3 linked regions of the Alligator mississippiensis genome follow. The protein of the gene in region 1 interacts with the protein of each later gene in a biochemical or structural test. Links are inferred from orthologs where the notes say so. Each region holds a gene or a part of one and is shown on either strand. Other genes may lie near its edges.

Region 1 (3,746 bases):
TTCCCGCTCTGCATTCATTTATCCCAGGGCTGTGTGTTCTGCCTCTCTCTGCATTCATCTGCTCCAGGCCTGTCCTGTTTCCTCTTTCTAAATTCATTTAGGCCAAGGCTGTCTCACTCTGTCTCTCTCTGCATTGTTCGCTCCAGGCCAGCTTATCCCTCTGCATGAGTTTATCCCGGGCCTGTCTCATTCCGTCTCTCTGCTCATTTGCTTACCCTGGGCCTGTGCCATTCTGTTTCTCTCTGCAAGTTTTGTTCTGTCTGTCTCTGCATTCATTTATCCCAGGCCTGTCCGGTTCCCTCTATCTGTGTACTCATTTATCCTGGGCCTGCCTCCCGCTGTGTCTCTCTGCTCCATTGTTTATCCCTCAGCTGCTTTATTCTGCCTGTCTCTGCATTCGTTCACTCCAGGGCCTGTCTCGCTCTGTCTCTCCGCACATTCCTTCGCTCAGGGGGCCGTCTCGTTCTGTCTGTCTCTGCATTCCTTTATTCCCCATGCTGTCTCATTCATTTTTCCCCACAGGAAACGGGAGGGGAACCTTCCCGTGCCAGCCTGGCCCTGTGCTGCTTGCTTCCTTCTCTCCTCACTCCCTCATTCTTTCCTTCCTGCAAAGTAGGGGGTCAGGTCACACAGGATGAAACCATGCTCCCCCCACCCTTCTCCCTACACTCATCTGTCCCTTCTGCTTTGTTTTTTCTTTCCAAGAGGGGCCTTCCCTGGCCTCGTCCCCCCTGGGGCTGGACCAGTGCCCAGGGAAGAGAGGGAAGGAGAAAGTTTGGTGGGGGGACAAGGGTGTTGGCAAGAGGAAGGAGAAAAACAACCAGGGATTTGTAATTGTCTTTCCAGGAAGGATTGGGAAACCGGAGGGCGGGGGGAGGAGGAACGGATGGACTGAAAGTATATGGATGGAGGGAGAGAGAAGGGGAGGGGTGGTGGGTCTAGCTGAATAGAGGAGCTGTCTGGAAAAGAAAGAAAGAAAGAAAGTTGCAGGAGGGAAGAATAGATAGATAGACAGACTGTGGGTATGGATGAGGAAGGAAAGGAAGAAGGAAGAGACAGGCGGGCGAGATATACAAGGGCAGCCAGCTACCAGGACAGACAAATGGACAGATAGAGAAAGAATCTGGTTGGATGAATATAGAAAGCTGGAAAGGACGAATGAAAGCAAGCAGCCAGCCAGCGCCTTGAGTCCCTGCCAAGTTTCCCCAGTGGCTCCTGCCCAGCTCCAGATGTGGGTCCCGCTCTGGGCCAGGGGTGGCATGGACCCAGCCTGGGGGATGGAGGAAAGGGGAAAATCCAGAGCTAAACGAGTGTCCAGGGGCGGGGGGAACCCTCTGAGAGGACAGGGGGGAGCAGGAAGGAAGGAAGGGAATGAGGGAGGGGTGAAAGTTGGCTGCGGGGTGAGCCAGTCAGGAAGGGAGCCCAAAGAAGGAGGGATAGGGGAAATCTAGGAAATGGAGGAGTGCAGCCCTGAACACCCCCCTCACCCGCCCTCGGAGAGAGGACTAAAGGCGGCTGCAGGGAAGAGATGGAAGTGGGGTGTGAGTGCGAGAACAGAAGAGAAAAGAAAGACTGGTGAGAAGGGAACTGGAAGAGAGCAGAGGAGCAAGGGAAGGTGCCGGGTCTGGCAGAAGGACAAGTGGGGGGAGGGCAGCCAGGCCAGTTCCAAAAGAAAGGAGAGTGGGAAAAACCAGACAGAGGACTGGAAGCCAGGAATGAGGGGAATGGGAAAGGCTGGAGAACAGAGGATGGGGGCTGCTAGAGCAAGAGGACACGTCCCCGGGGGGAAGCAAGAAGCAAGAAAATGGGAGGGGAAGAACTGGAGACAGGACGGGAAGAAACAAAGGAACGTGAAAGTTTGGCAAGCGAATGAGTGTGGGAGGCAGGCTGGCACCGTGACCTGCCCCTGGCCATGAAAGAAAGGATCGTGGAAAATCCCAGATGGAGTGATGAAAGGAAAAACGAGGGATCTGGGCACAGGAGGGCTGGGGGGAGGCAGCGGGGTGGGGGGGGAGTGAGGGAGGGAGCGTGGAAGTTTGCCAACCGGAGGAGTGCCAAGGACAAGGGTTGGGGTTCATCCTGGAAGAAAGGATGGTGGGAGAAAGCACAAGGCAGGGACAGAAGGGGAAGAAAGGGTCGAGTCAGGGCCGGGAGCAAAGGAATGCGAAAGTTTGGCAGGGGGACAAGTGTGGGAGGGAAGTTAGCCACCAGCAAGGCAAGAAAAGATGAGGAAAGAAACCACCGTGAAGGGATAGAAGAGGGGGATGGGAAGGAAGGGGAAAAGTGTGGAGACAGACAAGCGCCGCGGGAGGAGGTAGCAGGGGGGCAGGGGAGGAAGAAGGGATAGCAGCAGAGTGGCCTGCGGAGGTGTGAAGTTGGGCCGACTCTGGCAAACATTGGCCAACAACCCAACCCAAGAGTTGGCCAACAACCCAACCCAACAGTTGGCCAACGGTGAAGGGGCCCAAGACTCACCTCGGGGCTGAAGCCGGGGTCTCCCACTCCCAGTTGGAGCAGGGAGCCCAGCACCAGGCCAGCCGAGAGCAGAGAGGGGCCCATGCCTGCCTCTGTGTGTCCGTTCGTCTGTCCCCAGCGCAAGGGACTCCGAGGCGGCTGGGAGCGAGAGGGGAAAATAACTCTGAGCAGGGCCAGCTGGCGGGGCCTGGAGCCACCTACCAGGGAGGGAGGGAGGGAGGAGAGGGCGGGCAGAGGGGTGGGAGGGAGGAAGGAGCCGTCTGGGAAGTAAGACAGGGAGTGGAGAGAGAGAGGGAGGAAAGACAGGAAGAGGGTTTGCAGAAGGGCAGACAGGGGAGGGGGGAGCGCAGGGAGACAGACAAACCCACAGGCTGGAGGGCTTCACACTTTATTAGCAGCATGTTAAGAGCCAAAGGGGCTCCATGGGTGGGAGGGGAGCGCCAGTCTGGCAGGAGGGGAAAGAGAGAGCCGTGATGGATAGAGAGCTTGTTCATCTTTATTAGAGAAAAGAGTGAAAAAGAGAGGAGATGGGCGGAGAGAGAAAGGAGGATAGTTGAGAGGGTGGATGGAGTCTATGGGGATGGAGGGATGGGTGTGGGGTGGGTGGATGGATAGATGGATGGGTGGGGTTATGGTGATAGATAGATAGATAGATAGATAGATAGATAGATAGATAGATAGATAGATAGATAGATAGATAGATAAACTGTCTTTGGAAGAAGGGAGGGAGAGGCAGATGGCTGGATTGGGGTTATGGCAATGGAAGGCTAGCTTAAGGGCGATATTTGGAGAGGGATGGATGACTGATTTTCATTCTGTCTGTGGGAGAAGGGATGGAGGGTGGATGGATACGAGATTGGTAGGTGGAGACGGGTGGGTGGATAAAGGGGCTGCCGGGAGGTGGGTGGATGCACAGGTAGGCCTGTGCCCAGTCCCGCATCTGTGCCGGCGCGGGCTGTCCGGTGACGGAAGCCGACAGCGCTCCCCGGGCCGCGGGCGGGCAGGCACCGGGCGCGCTGGGCAGGATGTGGCCCGGAGGTGGCTGAGTCAGCGGGCCGGCCGTGCTGAGCCAGGAGCAGGCAGGGAATCCCAGGCAGCCTGGCCCGCGGCCACCCCGACCCCCCGCCCCGCTCTAACCACTACCCCCGCCCCGCTCCCCTCCCCTCTCAGCACTGGGAAAGAGCCCAGGCGTCCCGGCTGCTCTAAGCACTACCCGCCGCCTCCCTCCCACGGCTGAGAAGGAACCCAGGCGGGCAGGCGGCGGCCCCGCA
Region 2 (3,746 bases), on another chromosome or scaffold:
CCCCCAGGGCAGGGCAGACCAGATTGGGCACAGTCAACTGCTGGGAGCAGGTTGCGCTCACACAGGTGCCACAGGGCATGCAGGGGCTACAGGAGGCATTGCCAATGCGATGCCCATGTCACTGCTGCTGCTCTGAGCACACAGCCGGTGACACCGGTTCCAGGAACCGGCAGCCCTCGCCTGCCCCGCTAGAAGCACGACACCCAGAGCTCCCGGAGCGGCCCCCTCGGTGCCAGGCTGCAACCGAGTGCCCAGCCCTGGCCTGCATGGCTGCATCCCCAGTGCTTAGTTGGGGTGGGGAGGGCGAGCAGCACAGAAGCAGCAACCCACCTCCAGCCCCCGCTCAGCTACACACAGACCCCTGAAGCCGGACAGACTGGGCCGTTTCCCTGCCCCTCTGCCAGCTCCGGCTCAGACTAAACTACCCTGTCCTCCTCCTCGAGGCCATGTTCGCTAACCTGCTTGTCACCAGGCCCTGGCTTGTCCCCGAGCGGCGGTGGCCCCGGCAGCCAGCTCCCAGCAGGGCAGTGTGCAGGAATGCGTCCGGCCTGCCCCGCCAGTGCCAAGGCAGGGGAGCGCGGCCTGGTACCCAGAGCAGCTTGTGGGCCATGGAGCCCCTTGCCCCGAGCTTCATGTAGGATCTGGGGAGCCCTGTGCTGCCCAAACTGGGGCCCTATATGCCTCAACACTGCTGGCTGCCCCACACGGGCACGTGGGAGCTCACTGCCCTGCTCCCAGCAGCATCCCCTGCTGTCACCACCCGCCCGAGCCCGTGGGGCTGGAACCACGTGCTGGAGCCCGAGGAAGCATCCCCAGAGCAGGGGGCCGAGGTGGAAGGGGCAGGGCGGGGAGGTGTCCTACGTGCCTCTGCCAGCTGACCTGCAGTCCGGCTCCCACTGCCCCAGCCACCGGGCAAACAGCCGGAAGGAGACCTGGGGCTCCGCTACACCGAGAAACCGTTTCTCCCGTCCCTCCAGCGCTCCCTGAACCTCGGCCATAGTGGGCCGAGCCCCCGGCAGCCCCGGCAGAGACTGACGCCAGCTGCTGAGAAGCCGCAGCGGCCGGGGCCGGGGGCCGGAGCAGGGGCGCTGGCCGGGGGCGTGGGAAGCCGGGAGCGCTGGCGGAGCATCCTCGCGGCGGACGGATGGGTGTGGGCCGAGCTCCGGGTGACCGGCCTGCCTACGCGTCTCAGACTGACCGCGCTCCCTTGCCCGCCAGGCCGCGGGGCTGGGAATGGCCGCGCCGGCCCGGCCTGGCCTGTTTGTTTAATATGGTACAATTTAATAAGGGCATTATTCATGGAAGAGGAATCCGGATCCCGGGGCTGCCAAGCCCGGCCTTCCAGCAGCATCCAAGCCGAGAGAGATGGGACGGAAGAAAGGAAATGCCTGGAAAGAAGGAGCAGGCGGAGGTGACCCGGCCCTGGCTCCCAGGCTGGCCACGGCCTGCGCCCTGGCCCCACCGCTGCTAGGCACCGACTGAATCAAGATGGCAACGCGGCGCGCTCCTCCTCGCCGGGCGGGCTCCGCCGCAGCCAGCCGGACCCCGCGGCGGGGACGCAGGGCCAGGCCTCTCCATCCCCGCGCACCCACGTGCGGGGCAGGCGGGGGGAGGCTCCGCCGCCCACGGGCACGCACCCCCCGGGCCCGGGCCCGGGGCCGGCAGACACACCCCCCAGACACACACACTCGCGCCCGGCAGGCAGACCCACCGCGCACACACGTGTGCACGCACTCTCCCGTCAAGGCCCCCGACGTGTCCGGCAGGCAGACGCCCCTTCCCGGAGGCCGGAGTGACCGCTGCGGACACCCTCCCCGCGGCCGCCGCCCCAGCGCGAGGCGAGGGAGGGAGACGGCGAAGGAGGCAGCCGGGCCGCCGCGGCACTGCCCGCTCCGTGTGCGGCGGGCCCGGCCCGGCCCGGCCCGGCCCGGCTCGGCCCGGCGCGGCGCGGGGCTTACCCAGGTCGGCGTTGCAGAACGCCTGCTGCGGGTGCACGGGCGAGCAGCTGCAGGCGCGGGCCAGGCGCCCGGCCCCGGCGAGCAGCAGCAGCAGCAGGGCGAGCCAGGCGCGCGGGCCGGGCGCGGGGGCCCTCATGGTGCGGGCGGCGGGGCTCAGCGCTGCGGCATGCAGGGCTCCGGCTCCGGCTCGGGCTCGGGCGGTGCCTCCTCCGCGGGCTGTTTTCCTCTCCCGGCCGCCGAGCCGGGCTTTAAGGCGCCGCGGCTCCTCCTCCCGGTGGCAGCTGGCCAGTGCCGGCTGCAGCTCGGCCCCGCGCGCCGCCGGGCGGGCATCGCGGCCGTGCCCCGGGGCGGGAGCCCCGGCCCCACCTCCGCCCGACGGCTGGGCCCGGGGCCGCACCGGGCCGGGCAAAGCGCCCTCCGGCCCGGGCCCGCGCCCGCGCCCGCGCCCGCCCCGACCCCAGCGCGGGGCAGAGGGGCAGGGGCGGCGGCGCGCCGCGGCCATGCGAGCGCCGGGCACGGGCGGTGGCAGCCAGGGCGAGGGCAGGCGCCGCAGGAGGAAGGGGCGACCCCGACGCGTGGGCAAGGGCTGGCCCGCAGCCGGCGCCGGCGGTGCTTCGCGGGGGCAGGGAGGGCCGTGGGGGCGCGCGGGAGCCGGGCCGTGCCCCCTGCCCGGACCCGCGGGGACTCAGTGCTGCGGGGAAAGGGGAACCCGCGGGAGACGCTGGCTCTGGAGAGGCCGCAGCCCCCTCCGGGGACTCCCAGAAACTGGCCCCCATCGCAGGGCTCCCCCAGGCACCGCCGGCCACGCAGGGCCTGGGAGCCAGAGCCCAGCAGGGCGCTCGGGTGACGGAGGTGCCTGCTGGGCACAGGTCCGTGGCTCCCAGAGCGAGGCCTGTCCTGAGCCAGCCACTGCCACGCAAGGCCAGTGGCTAGGCCGGGCCCTGACCCTTGCACCCCGACAGCCGCCAGGCTGGACACGCCACGCCTGGGCCCGATCCTCACCCGTCCCCTCTGGGACCTGGGGGAGTGGGGAGGGTTGTCACTGCTGGGCAGGGCATGCCTGGGGCAGCAGGGAGCCAAGGCCACAGGAGCTGGTGGCCCCTGGGCAGGCAGCCCAGCCCCCTCCCTCTGCACCAGCTGTTAGCTATTAGGGGAGGACTCATGTGCAGCATCCCCTGCCAGCCAGGCTCTTAAAAGGGCGCTGCGCACTTTGCTTTGGGAGGTCCCACGCTGCCTGGGTCACCCTGCCAGGGGCTCGGGCTCAAGGCTGCCTGGGAGAGGACCTCACAGGCACATGGGGGGCTCATGCAGCAGCTGCACCCACAGCCCCCAGGCTCAGCAGAGCCAGGACCGAGCTGTGGGGCCCAGCCCCTTCCACCTTTGCAGGACTTGGCCTGGCATCGCACAGCAGCAGTGGCCTGGCACACATGGGCAGCAACTGCTCTACCCCGCCAGCGCCGGGGATCCACCAGCCCCCCTGAGTGGGGGGATACCTGCCCCCCCGCTCCTGCATGGCATGGGGCCACACTGCCCAGCTTGGGGCAGCACTCGCCCAGGGCTCCAGCTGGGACCCAGGGCACGGCGGCTGGGGGGCAGCAGGCATGTGGGCATCCTGTGGGAGCCCCGGGCCAGGAAGGGCCCCCACATGCCACTGAATCACTCCCAGGGGGATGGATCAGGGCCGCTGCAGGGACAACCCATGGCTCTGGACAGGGACAGTGCACGTAGGGGTCAAGCGCTGCCCGGGGCTCATGCACCCCTGGGTCTTGCCCATCTCCTGGGGAACCT
Region 3 (3,746 bases), on another chromosome or scaffold:
AATTACACTCCCATGTAATTTAGCATTGTAAGCATTTGAATAAGGAGATATATTAAATATATTTAATCAAGGATTATCCTGTCAATATTGCCTAATTCTAGAAACTGTTATTTGGCCACGTTTTAGCATAGGTAGTATGAAAGTAATTTCCTTTGTCTGTTAGCAAATTTTGTATGAAAACACATCAGCTGAATCACAACATGGCCCATGTCCTCAGCTACTCTAAGTAGGGATGTCTTTACAAAATCAGGAGATTTGCACTTCTTTACATCAGCTCCAAATACGGTCCAGTGTGTGGTAAAGCAACATTAAGAATGGAATTCTTACTGTTTTCCTGAAAACATGGAAAGTTAGCATTATGGCCAAGAGTTTGGACTGGCACTCTTCAGCCTTATAATCTTTTATGTATTTGCATTGTTTTTGGCATAAGTAAAGGCCTATTAATCGAGGAGAACAGATGGTGTATCTTAACTTCAAATTCCTTTTGTGGTTTTAATTTATACTTTCAAATGGTTCTTTACTTCATTCTGGATTTCATATACAGGCCACTTCTTTTAATGGCATTACATATTTGAAATATTCAGTGAGAGACTGGAATTAATATTACAAATATGGTATTAAAATATGTGGCATATTATTAAGCAGTGAAGCTGTGTGTGATTGTATATGTGTGTTTATGTGTGTAATGCTTACTAAAGCTATCCAAATAAATAGGTAAAACAGTTAATTAGTTTTATTGCTGAATTCTTAATAAGCATATATAAAATGTTTCACTATTAAAATGTAAAACAACCAGAGATCATATGTGCGCTAAAATGTTAACTTGAAAAATGATAATTATAATTATTATGTCAGAGGAAGTTCTTAAATATTTGTCCTACAGCAAAAAAAAACTTTTGAATAAAGTATTTTGATTATTATATTTGTAATTTTAAAATACATGTGAAAACTTCTTTGAGGTTGAATAGAAGACATGGGAAATGCTAAAGTGCATCATTACAAACCTCACAGAATACTTTCTAGACTGGCAAAGACCATAAAAGACACAGTGAAAATATTCTTTAAAATACTGGACTGCACCAATTATATAAGCATTGTAAAAATAATTAATTAATAATCTTCAATATTTAAATGCATATTATGATTCTGCAACATCAGTTCCCTTTCTTCTGGCTGTAATGAAAAAGATGATTTTTTTTAAAGTTATAATTAGATATTTTAAAGTTTTCAAAATGATAAATGAATTAAAATTCCAAATGAGCTAGAATTTCTCTTTTCCCAGCTGCCTAATTCTTAAATGTTCATGTACTTCATTCTTCTGTAAAACAGAACAGTAATGACTTACAACATGAAGAAGATGGATAAGGTATTGTTGCTAACAGAATCCTGAATGAGTGAGTAAAAGTAATACTTTTTAATTTTCCTTGCACTGTATGTTAGATTTCCCTCTTTAAAAAAAAAATACATGTGACAAAAAAGTGCAACACTAACTCACAAATGTGAGGTTACTTTAAGAAAACTGTGAAAGCAAATTGCACTAAACAACTGCTGATTTGTGTTCAATTTACAAATTGGCAAAGTTGTCCTGACATGTTTTCATGTTCTCATTATAGCTACATTCAAATAGCAGAGCAATACGGGTAAAACATGCAACAGTACTTACCTTACAGCCTTGAAGCTGCTTTCTTTAATTCCCAGAGCAGATGCAATAAGAGAATCTGTATCGACCAATATATGCTGTAAATAGTGTCAGGAGGTAACTGGCTGCCAGAACCTCTGTAATACAAAAGCTAAAAAAACCCAAGAAAAAAAAAACCAGAAGAAAACCCCTAGTCACGCTGTTGACTGAAGCTGCTATGTCATCATGGTGATCTTGTGGTGTGGCATGTACAACTGCTGCTCTCTAATGAAGTGCAGGTGGATACTGTATTCTGTAGAAGGACAACCCTTCTGTAATCCCTATGGAATAGGAGAAAGATAAGTATTTCACAGACCTGAGAAGTTCAGACTATTGGCCATAGCCTTATAGGAGGAATGTAATATTGTATAGAAAAAAAATTAAAATAATATACAAATTATAAACAGAACTTTTCTCTTTTTCAACTTCTTTTATACCACTAGACATGATTTAAAAAAATAGCACTCAAACCTCAATGTAGTTATTCTGACTAAGCCAAATGACTCATTCATTTTGTCTTGTTTTTCTTTCTCCAAAACTATTCCCACAATAATTTAATGAATCTTAACTGAGGTTAAGATCCTAAGATAGGAACATTGGACTGGCAAGGACCTTTTGAACAATCAAGTCCAGTCCCTAGAAGAACCAAAATTGCATTAGGACTTTCTTTGTTCTGTAAACCTTTTCTTCAAACCATTATAAAGGACTGTTGACTCCAGTGATTCTTTCTAACTGCTCAGTAAATACCAAGTCTGGAAGCTTGTTCTCTGATCTCATGTATGGATGTTTCTGAATTAAAACAGCCCATGAAAACTTTCCTGCAGTTGGTTATAAATTCACTTGAGTCATTTTTTTCCCCCCTTTTAGTTCTTTAAGCACTTTTCTGCTCTTCAGAATCTGGAACTACTCAGCTGTGAGTTGTCTGTTCCCTATTTCATGGATATAGTTCAAGAATGCATCCTAAGCTTGGATGGAAACGTTGCTTTATCTGGACAATGCCAAAAAATGCAATAAAAACATAAAATTATTAGCAGAATCATAATTGTTTGTTTCCCTAAGTTTCGTCCATACTCATAAATTGTGTCTCTATTGCCTTATGAAATGAAAACTCTCTCTCAGACAGGGTGTGTCTACATGAACTATTTACTGCATAGTAGATGTTGCACATCTATACATGCACCCCTGTGAGGCTGGAGTAAACTAGTTTACTCTGCAGCAGGATAGTATTTCTTATATACAAATATTATCAAGCTGCAGAGTCTTTTACTCTGAAGCAGCACACATGTGGCTGCTGCCTTGGCTAGCTGGGGCATGAGGGTACTTCATTGTGAAGGGCTACCTTCTGGCTAGCACCACATGAAAGCACTCTCTTGCCCCAGCCAGCCCCTCTGCAGTATGCTGAGCCAGGGGGAGCAACTTTGGGCTGGCAGGCTGACCTCCCCGAGACTTTTGGCAGCTGGGGCTCAACATGCTGCGGTCCCAGGTGTGCATGCAGACACAGAACCCAGGAGCAATGAACTCCAGAGCAATAAGCAATAAGTTCTGTAGTTTATTCATGTACATTAATTGCATGTGTAGACACACCCACCGAGATACAAAAGAGAAAGCATATACAAGGTACTTTGACAATATCTGTAACTGCAGGCTGCGTGGTGTCTGGAATGAAGCAGTATATACACTTGAGTTTTAACCCAGATAAGATGACAGGTTTTGTTTGGTTTTATTTATTAGTACTTTTTTCAGAACTTTCATTTCCCATTCACGTGTCAAGCCTAATGTTCAGTTCTGACTTGGCCTGCAGGAGAAGTCACGTGCTACAGGGTGGGGTTAGGCCTAGAGATGCTTAGGACTGTAGCCTCTACTCCCCTCCTCCATAGGAGGAAGAGACTGCAAGTTGGCTACACTTGATAATGCTATCCTGAGCAACTGAGCCTCCATGCCCAGGGAAGTCGCTGGAGACAGGAAAAGGAGTGGCACAGATTATTTCCCTGCATAAAATGATGAGAACGTAGGGAGTGATGGGAAATATTTGAGCCACAGTTCAGTCCTGCTCTGCTGCTGGAGTGAC

Evidence for each region. The genes of interacting proteins can lie anywhere in the genome.
Region 2: the proteins of MMP14 (region 1) and TIMP2 form a complex in vitro, tested with the Homo sapiens proteins (2 studies listed by BioGRID). The link is inferred for Alligator mississippiensis from reciprocal best matches to the Homo sapiens genes MMP14 and TIMP2.
Region 3: the proteins of MMP14 (region 1) and LUM interact in a biophysical measurement, tested with the Homo sapiens proteins (2 studies listed by BioGRID and IntAct, with this or other methods). The link is inferred for Alligator mississippiensis from reciprocal best matches to the Homo sapiens genes MMP14 and LUM.

The regions. Positions count from the first base shown.
Region 1 is NC_081830.1:7,283,151-7,286,896, forward strand, and holds the start of MMP14 (matrix metalloproteinase-14), read right to left. Parts: upstream 2,688-3,746; 5' UTR 2,560-2,687; coding exon 2,476-2,559; intron 1-2,475.
Region 2 is NC_081831.1:751,400-755,145, forward strand, and holds the start of TIMP2 (metalloproteinase inhibitor 2), read right to left. Parts: upstream 2,476-3,746; 5' UTR 2,461-2,475; coding exon 1,959-2,460; intron 1-1,958. UniProt on the Homo sapiens protein: Complexes with metalloproteinases (such as collagenases) and irreversibly inactivates them by binding to their catalytic zinc cofactor. Known to act on MMP-1, MMP-2, MMP-3, MMP-7, MMP-8, MMP-9, MMP-10, MMP-13, MMP-14, MMP-15, MMP-16 and MMP-19.
Region 3 is NC_081827.1:86,438,839-86,442,584, forward strand, and holds the start of LUM (lumican), read right to left. Parts: upstream 2,387-3,746; 5' UTR 1,664-2,386; intron 1-1,663.